Linked DNA regions of Caenorhabditis elegans. The protein of the gene in region 2 interacts with the protein of the main gene of each other region in a pairwise test. Each region holds a gene or a part of one and is shown on either strand. Other genes may lie near its edges. The genes, in order: ldp-1 and pgph-3.

Region 1 (4,940 bases), 3.6 Mb from region 2:
GAAAAAAAACTAGACCATGAGTTTATAAAAACTAGGCCGTGAATTTCAGAAAAAAATAGGCCATGAAGTTGGAAAAACTAGGTGATGCATTTGAAAAAATTAGGCCATGAGTTTTAGAAAGACTAGGCCGTGAATTTTATTAAAAAAATGGGTCATGAATTTCAAAAACCTGGCCACTAATTAGAAAACTAAGCCATAAATTTAGAACAAAGTAGGCCATGAATTCAAAAAAATCTAGGTCATGAATTAAAAAAGGCCATGAATTTGTAATAACACTAGGCCATGCATGCGAAACAACTAGACCATGAATTCGAGAACAACTTGGTCAGGAATTAAAAAAAAACTAGTGCACGAAAATGAGAAAATAGGCCATCAACTTTACAAAGTAACTAGGCCATGAGTTTTAGAAAAACTAGGCCATTAATTTAAAATGTTGCTTCTTTTTTCAGAAATCAGGGCCCAGTGAAGAGCAGATGAAAGAAGCAACATTCACCTATCAATTCTACGGTTATGGTTACGGTAGAGGAGATCCACGTGACCGGGAACCCAAGAAGAAGCTTCTCGTAACATGCACAGGTCCAGATGTTGGCTATATTGCGACAAGTGGATGTGTTTTGTCCTCGGTATTGGTATTTCTGAAAGAGAAGGAAAAGTTGCCCAAAAGGTAGGTCAAATTTGTTCTCTTCATTTTTTGTTTCAAAAATCACTGTGTTGTTATTACGTAGACGTCAAAAATTGGTCTCGCAGCGGCAGCGAGAGAGCATGCGGCAAAGAGACGCAGAGAGATCTGGGCAATAAAAGGTCGAACAACTGTTTTGATCCATTGTCTCCTGTTTTTGACCTCTGTCTCTCTCTCTCACATTTTCCCATCTTACTTGTTTCTTTTTTTCTAGACCTGCAATACAAAGTGCAACACGCTAGATCGTAGCCAATTTTCGATGGTTTTTGCCGCGAATTTCCCCTTATTTACTCTGCATTTCAGCGGCGGAGTCTACACAACAGCGTATGCATTCGAGAACACTAGACTTATCGATTTTTTGCTTGATTTCGGAATCAAGTTCGACATTGAGATGCCTTCAAAGTTGTAAACACGTTGTTTTGGGCGATTTCAAGGTTATTTCATCGGGTCATTCGGCATTTTCGAATGGTGTTTGTTTCTTCTTTATATTTCATTCGAAATGTGTTTCTATTCTTGTAAAATTGTTCTATAAATCGAGTTTTTATTTGAATTTTAGAGTTTCCCGCTAAAACTCCTGTGAATGGCCTAGAAATTGTGGCTGCAATGCTAGTCCTCCCGGCCGTGTACTTCACGTGAACAAGCGGTTTTCTTCGTAAAATTCACCAATTTTCCTCTAAAAAATCAGTTTTTTGCAGTTTTTTTCATTATTTCTGATCATTGTCCGACCACAGTTCACCCATGAAATTCACATGGAATCGCACCACCACACGAAATGAGGTGTTCAACCTGATAACACATATTTTTACTCGCTGAAACTCGATAAAAACGCCCTGCAACATCGTTTTACTCCATTTCGCCGCTTTTTCTCTTCAATTTTCTTGTAAAGTTCTCTAAAACTTAAAAAAAATCCAAATTCCAGTATGAGCCGCTACGACGTTGTTGTCTACGGAGCGTCTGGCTTCACTGGAGCCTATGTTGTCGAATATTTGGTAAATTCTGAACAATTCGAGGGGCTTTCGTTTGCTGTCGCCGGAAGAAGCGAGAAGAAGCTCAGAGAGGTTCTCAGAAATATCAGCCAAAAAACTGGTAGGAATTTTAACCGTAAAATAACATTTCGAGCTTTTTTCCAGGAAAAGATGTGAGCAACGCCGCCGTTATCGTCGCCGATTCTGCAGATGAGCGTTCTTTGAACGAGATGGCGAGGCAGGCAAATGTCGTTATCAATGCAGTTGGACCTGTAAGAAATTAAAGATTTAAATTCCCTGAAACCTTCAAATTTTCAGTACCGCCTGTACGGAGAAGCCGTCGTGAAAGCGGCCGTCGAAAACGGAGCAAGCCACGTGGATATCTCTGGAGAGCCAGCGTGGATTGAGAAGATGCAACAGAAATATTCGAAACAAGCCAAAGAGCAAGGAGTCTACGTGGTGTCCGCGTGTGGATGGGACTCGATTCCAGCTGATTTGGGAGTCAATTTCTTGAAGAAAAACTTCCATGGAGACCTGAACCACGTGGAATCATTCGTTCAACTGCTCACTGGACCATCCGGATACTCGTTCAATGCTGGAACCTATCAAACTTTGATTCTTGGACTGTCTGGAGCAGCCACTGATAAGCTTGGAGCTGTCAGAAAAGAGATTATGCCGGAAAAGATTGTCAGAGGAGCTGTGAAGCTTCCGAAGAGACCGACTCTCTGGGAGATTAAGGGTTCGTGGAGGAAAGGAGCAATGGAACTGAAAAATTCGAGAAAATGCCCGAAAATGACCTGAAATTTGCTAAAAACAATATTTCAGATCATTTTTGCGCCCGTTCCCAAGTGTTTCAGCTGGAATAAATGCTATTTTCAGACAAATCGAGCGATTTCCTATACTTTGACATTAATTTTTAATGACATTTAATGAAAATTAGTGTCAAAGTATAAAAAATGGCTCGATTTGTCTGAAAATAAAATTTTTTCGAGCTGAAACAATTGGGAAAGTGCACAAAATAGTCGAAAAAGCCATTTTTGAGCATTTTCTCAATTTTTCAGCTAAAATGAATGTTTTTTTTTTCATTTTCTGAAATTGAAATTTCTGGCAAATCTGCAAATCGCCGGAATTTAAAATTTCCAGCAAATCGGCAAATTGCCGGAATTAAAGCTTCCAGCGAATTGCCGCAGTTGAAAATTTCCGATAAATAGGCAAATTGCCGGAATTGAAAATTTCCGGCAAATCGGGAAACCGGCAAATTGCTGGAATTGAAAATTTCCGGCAAACCTTCAAATTGCCGGAATTGAAAATTTCCGGAAAATCGGCAATAATTTCCGGAATTGAAAATTTCCGATAAATAGGCATATTGCCGGAATTGAAAATTTGCGGCAAATTGGGAAACCGGCAAATTGCCGGAATTGAAAATTTCTGATAAATAGGCAAATTGCCGGAATAAAAAATTTCCAGCAAATCGGCAAATCACCGGAATTGAAAACTTCCGGCAAATTGGCGAAAATTAAAATTTCCGGCAAATCGGCAAACCGGCAAATTGCCGAATTTTGCCGCCCTCCCCTGATCCAAATCTACTTTTTATTGTTCCTGATTAAATTTTTTTTTTTCAGAAAAGGAGCTCAACGGTGTCGCTGTTCCATTCCCAGGAGCCGACAAATCCATCATCAACCGCTCACAATACTACGACGCAACATCCCGCCAAGTCCGTCCAATCCACATGGAAACCTACATCCGCCTCTCATCCCAATTCTACGGATATCTCATCGGACTCTGGATCATGTTCCTCTCGATCTTCGTCAAATACCCGTTCACCCGCCGAATCCTCCAACAATACCCTGATCAATGCAGTTTCTACATGTTCAAGAATTCGGGACCAAGTGCCCGGCAAATGGCCGAAGCTTCGTTCGTCTACTGGTTCTTCGGATATGGATACAAGGAAACACTTCCACTGGATCAGCAACACGAGGGAAAAATCAATAGAAAAGTGTTGGCTACTTGCAAGGGACCAGATGCTGGATATATTGCCACTAGTGGTTGTGTTCTTTCCGCCGCATTAACCCTGATCAGAGATAAGGACAACTTGCCAAAGGAGTGAGTTTGGCGGGAAATTTAAAATATTATTTTTTTGAAAATTGTTTTTTCAAAAATAATTTCCTTAATTTTTCCAGTGGAGGCGTCTACACCACAGCTGCTGCTTTCGGAAACTCCAAGATCTACGATTATTTGGCATCATTCGGAATCACTTATCAATTGGAATCTGAATATGATCTTTAATTTAATGCTTGTCTTGTTTATATTCTGTTTTAGGGTTGTTTTAGAAATTCCAGGTGTCAAATCGAAAATTGCTGGTTTTACATTATTATTATTATTATAAACGCATGCTGTTTAATCCACGTCACTTTGAACTTTTGAATCGAAAAACACTTATTATTTGTGGAATCAAAATGTTAACATGTGAAGTTTTTTATTTATTCTTCATGTAGTAAATGTTTTGTCCCCCCGCGCGAACAAGTGTTAACAAACAACACACGTCATTTAGAGCTCAAAAATCGGTGTTTGACTAATTTTAAGGATTTTTTGCGAACGTATAATACGCTCAGAACATTTAAAAATAGGTATGCACCTTTAAAGGATATGGTAGATTTCATGGAGTTACGATATTATATTATTTAGGCGCGAAATATTGTGATTTTTGGGTCGTAAATACGGTACCCGGTCTCGACACGACAAATTTTTGAAAAATAAAAAAGGTTTGCGCCTTTAAGAGTAGTGTAGGTTCAAATTTAGGTTTGCCGATTTGCAGGAAATTTTCAATTCCGGCAATTTGAAGGCTTTCCGCAAATGTTCAATTCCTTCAGTTTGCCGGTTTGCCGGAATTTTTCAATTCCGGCAATTTGAAGGTTTGCCGGAAATTTTTAATTCCGGCAATTCTGCCAATTTCTCGATTTGCCGCAAATGTTCAATTCCGTCAGTTTGCCGGTTTGCCGGAATTTTTCAATTCCGGCAATTTGAAGGTTTGCCGAAAATTTTCAATTCCGGCAATTTGACGACTTTGCCGGAAATTTTCAATTCCGTCAGTTTGCCGGAAAATTTCAATTCCGGCAATTTGCCGGTCTCCCGAATTGCCGGAAGTTTTCAATTCCAACAATTCGCCGATTTGCTGGAAATTTTCAATTCCGTCAGTTTGCCGCAAATATTCAATTCCGTCAATTTGCCGGTTTGCCGGAATTTTTCAATTCTGCCAATTTGCCGAATTGCCGGAAGTTTTCAATTTCGGCAACTTG
Region 2 (3,843 bases):
TCAAACTAACTATTACAAAAATCCCTGCAGCCATTATGTTGTCAATTTCATGTTCTTTCAGAATTTGAAAACAAAATTCAAAAAAGTTTCATATCCGCTGAGTTCAAGCAGAAAAAGTCGATACTGATTCTGCATTCAAATTCTCTATTAGTGCGGCATGCCGCACTAATTTCCGGGCCCATTGTAACTTGCGCACTATTAGAGACTGCCGGACTACTGGAGACTGCCGTACTAATTTTCGATAACTAATTTTCATTTTGAGGTTACTACTTTCGAGAGTAGTAAACTAAAAATTCCCTCATAAAACCTCATATTTTATGTGAAAATTAATGAAAATTGTGCACTTTGCCCCCAAAGACACTGAAATGCAATGTTTAAGTGAAAGTTTATGAGAAATTATTGAAGAATGAACAAGGATACCATTGGAGTAATCGAATATTTGAGGTGGCTTTTGCAACCAAAAAGAAGGGGTTTTCGAAAGGGCAGTAGGGGTGCCGCACTAATAGAGATGCCGCACTATTAGAGATGCCGCACTAATAGAGAATATACGGTAGTCGGTTTTAGCCTAACCTATCAATCTCAATACTTATTTTTAATTTTATTCATGTTTACAATTCAATACAAATAAAAATTGAAAATGTCATGTCGAAAATACAAATACTCGTAATAGTTATCATGAATGAATGTAACTAATAATAAATTTGATTCGACTCCGGAACAAGAGCTCCAAGGTAAGGTGCAACATAATCAGGAACCATATCATCTCTTTCGTTCATTTGATTTTCAATGATATCTTCAATTTGATGACATCCAGATAAAACTAACAAAGTCTTCATTCCGTGATCTCTTCCGAATTTGACATCTGTGTTGGTTCTGAAATAATTCAAAAATTAAATTTAAAAGTTGAATAGAAATTAGATTTACCTGTCTCCAATCATCATTGTTCTTGATGGATTGATATTCCATTTTCTTTTAATATAATTAAATGCTGGAGTACATGGTTTTCCAACAGTCAATGGATCTCTTCCAGATGCACATTTGATTGCTGCAACAATTGGTCCAGCATCAGGAATAACAACTTCTGGATTTGGTCCTGGACATGTTTCATCTTCATTTGTTGCAACAAACAGAACACCTTCTTCTCTTAAATAATTTGAAGCCTTCATCATTTTGACATAATCGAAATGTTTTTCGTATCCAACAACGACTGCTCCAACATTTTCTTCCAATTTAATATCATACATGAATGCACCAGATCCGTCGGCTTCATCTTGTTTCTTTTCTGGTCCATGTCCAAAATATTCAATGCCTAATTCATCCATTTCATCACGAAGTCCTTGTTCTCCTATCAAATAAACTCGTTTTCCATCTAATCCAGCTCTGTGCAAAGTATCAGCAACAACTGCAGCTGGATTCACCAAATTGTTCTTGTTCATTTTTGAAGAGTTGTATCCCAGTTTTGCAAGCTTCTTTGCATAAACTGCACGAGATTTGGTGGCATTATTGGTGAGCACAATGATTTGTTTGTTGTGTTTCACAAGATAATCGATCAGACGAGGAGATCCTGGCATCACTGATTCACCGAGCCAAAGTACACCTGAAAGAATTTGTAATTAAGATTTGTTCTAGATATTCTAGAAAACTAACCATCAGCGTCGAAGATGAATGTGTCAATTGTCTTCATGACCTTGGAAAACGATTTCGGGTCAAGTGGAAGAGTAGATCTGCAGTTTGGATCAAGTCCAGAATGAATACGAGATTCTAGGAACATTTTTGGATTTTCATTTTCAGAATCAGATTCGACTGGGGTTGGAAGTGGGGAACTGATCTTCAGCTTCATTTTGAGTTTTCAAATGTAATTTCAGTTTGCAAATATAAACCAGCAAGTGATACTTTTCGATCCACTCTCGATACCTTTTATACCCGTGAATCTGTTGTGATAGCATCTGGTGGGCGGAGTCTGGCGATCAGAGCAGAAAACGAAACCGAAAGGACATTGAGACGTCATTCACCAATAAAGTTTCTGATAGCGAGAGAGTGCAGAGAAATTAGAGGAACAGATTTTCTCTGGGTCTCTTCGTGTGAAAACACTAAAAATAGATAGTGAAGAACACTTTAAAGATGTTCACGTGAACATTGAACAAAAAAGAGGGTGTCCCCCAAGTGTTCGTTGTGAATTAAGTGTAATACTTGTTTGTGGTTTTTTGAAACAAGATTGGAAGATCGTGAAAGCAAAATACAAACTAACTATAAATTAAATAAAACGTTTATAGTTGAGCAAGGAAATTGGATAAGAACATCAAAGTTCACTGAATGAATGGGGTCAAATTTCAACTAGGAAAGTTCAATAAAGGCTTTTCAATTATGCAGAGTACACGTGGAACACTTTGCAGTTTTGGTGGTTTGATGGCATTGAGAGGAAATTGTTCCTGGAATCTAAATGTATATTTTCAGAGCAATCTATTTTAAGCAAACTATTTTTCAGACAATTTTTAGCACATGATCTCATTAAACCTAGAAACGAACTGTCAACAGCTTGTGTCAACTCTGAGCTTCTCATTTCATAAAATTTATAATATTCCCAATTTGAGTTCGAGACACTCAAAATTAATAGAATTAAATAAATATTATCGTGTACTTTTTCAATTGTTTTTCTATTCCATTTTTGAATTCATTTGCAGAACTTTGTACCCAACTTTTCCATCTTTTTATACAATGTTAAATGTACTCAATCTTTTTAAGCCTATCATGTGAGTTGTGCTCTTTTGGATGAACAGTTGCTCAATGTTCGTCTGATCTCTGCGTCACATATTTGTGTGTAATGGGAATCGCAAAAGCTTATTGATTTTTATTGCTATTTTTGTGGATAAATGAACAAATGCACAATATGTACAAAATTTGGAAAAGTTGAATATCTAAAATTATTGATCCACATAACTGCGAAAAATTAAATTGGTTATAGAATATGTTAAGTGCAATTAGTACGGAAAGTGTAATGCGGTACAAAGTTCTTGTTTTCAAAACATGCAATTTTAATCGATCTTTTTCTCATGCATTCTCATTGTTCTACTTCCTTTCATGATTTTTTTCCTTGTAACTTTGTTTTCTTATTGTAATAAATATTAAGTAGATCAATTTGTTTTCTTGCTTTAATAATAAAATCAACAATCTTCAGATCATTCCAATCATTGCATTCAATGCGTTCATCGACACCTCGCAGCTTTACGTTTTTGTTCAAAGATCTCTTGCAGGTGGGCTCTTTTGTGTTATCAGTGTAATCAATTCGTACTACTTTTCCACACAAACAAAACAACTTTTGAAAATCGAACAGTGACGAGTGGGCAAAGTATTCCCGTGATAGTACAGTCTGTAAAATACATTTGTAGTACTTCTTATCACTATTAATATAATTTGTAATAGGAGGAAACTGAAAACATGTTTGAAAGTGAACCGCTTAGGAGTGGTCGCAGTGATTTTTGGAATGAAAGTTCTGAAACGTTTTAGAGATTTAGTAGTCTATTGTTGAATGCATTTTTCATTAAACTTTTATTTTCCTGAAAAAGTTATGGGTAGATGACAAGATTAATACGGAACTTTGAATTGAGTTTTCAAAAAGAAATTTCTTAAAACATGCCAATTTTTCGAGGATTTTTTTCAGATAATTTCAAAATAAAAATTCTCTATGCTTATTTGTTATCTTAGAGCCTCGGCATTTCGCTCCACATTTTTGTCTAATTTGTGGCCCAAAAACTGTTCAGTTGGACCAAACGTTGGCAAAACTTGGGCAATAGTTGGGCTAGACTTGGTATTGGGCCCAATTTCAGCCTAAATTTGGCTGAAATC

What was found.
Region 1: the proteins of pgph-3 (region 2) and ldp-1 interact in a two-hybrid assay, tested with the Caenorhabditis elegans proteins (one large-scale study listed by BioGRID).

The regions. Positions count from the first base shown.
Region 1 is NC_003283.11:2,125,937-2,130,876, forward strand, and holds ldp-1 (Lipid droplet localized protein), read left to right. Parts: upstream 1-1,598; 5' UTR 1,599-1,599; coding exon 1,600-1,765; intron 1,766-1,809; coding exon 1,810-1,916; intron 1,917-1,962; coding exon 1,963-2,383; intron 2,384-3,266; coding exon 3,267-3,747; intron 3,748-3,824; coding exon 3,825-3,930; 3' UTR 3,931-4,164; downstream 4,165-4,940. Other genes in the region: F22F7.2 (Saccharopine dehydrogenase NADP binding domain-containing protein), read left to right, coding at 450-664, 983-1,088.
Region 2 is NC_003283.11:5,761,954-5,765,796, forward strand, and holds pgph-3 (Phosphoglycolate phosphatase), read right to left. Parts: upstream 1,894-3,843; 5' UTR 1,841-1,893; coding exon 1,648-1,840; intron 1,598-1,647; coding exon 925-1,597; intron 874-924; coding exon 690-873; 3' UTR 541-689; downstream 1-540.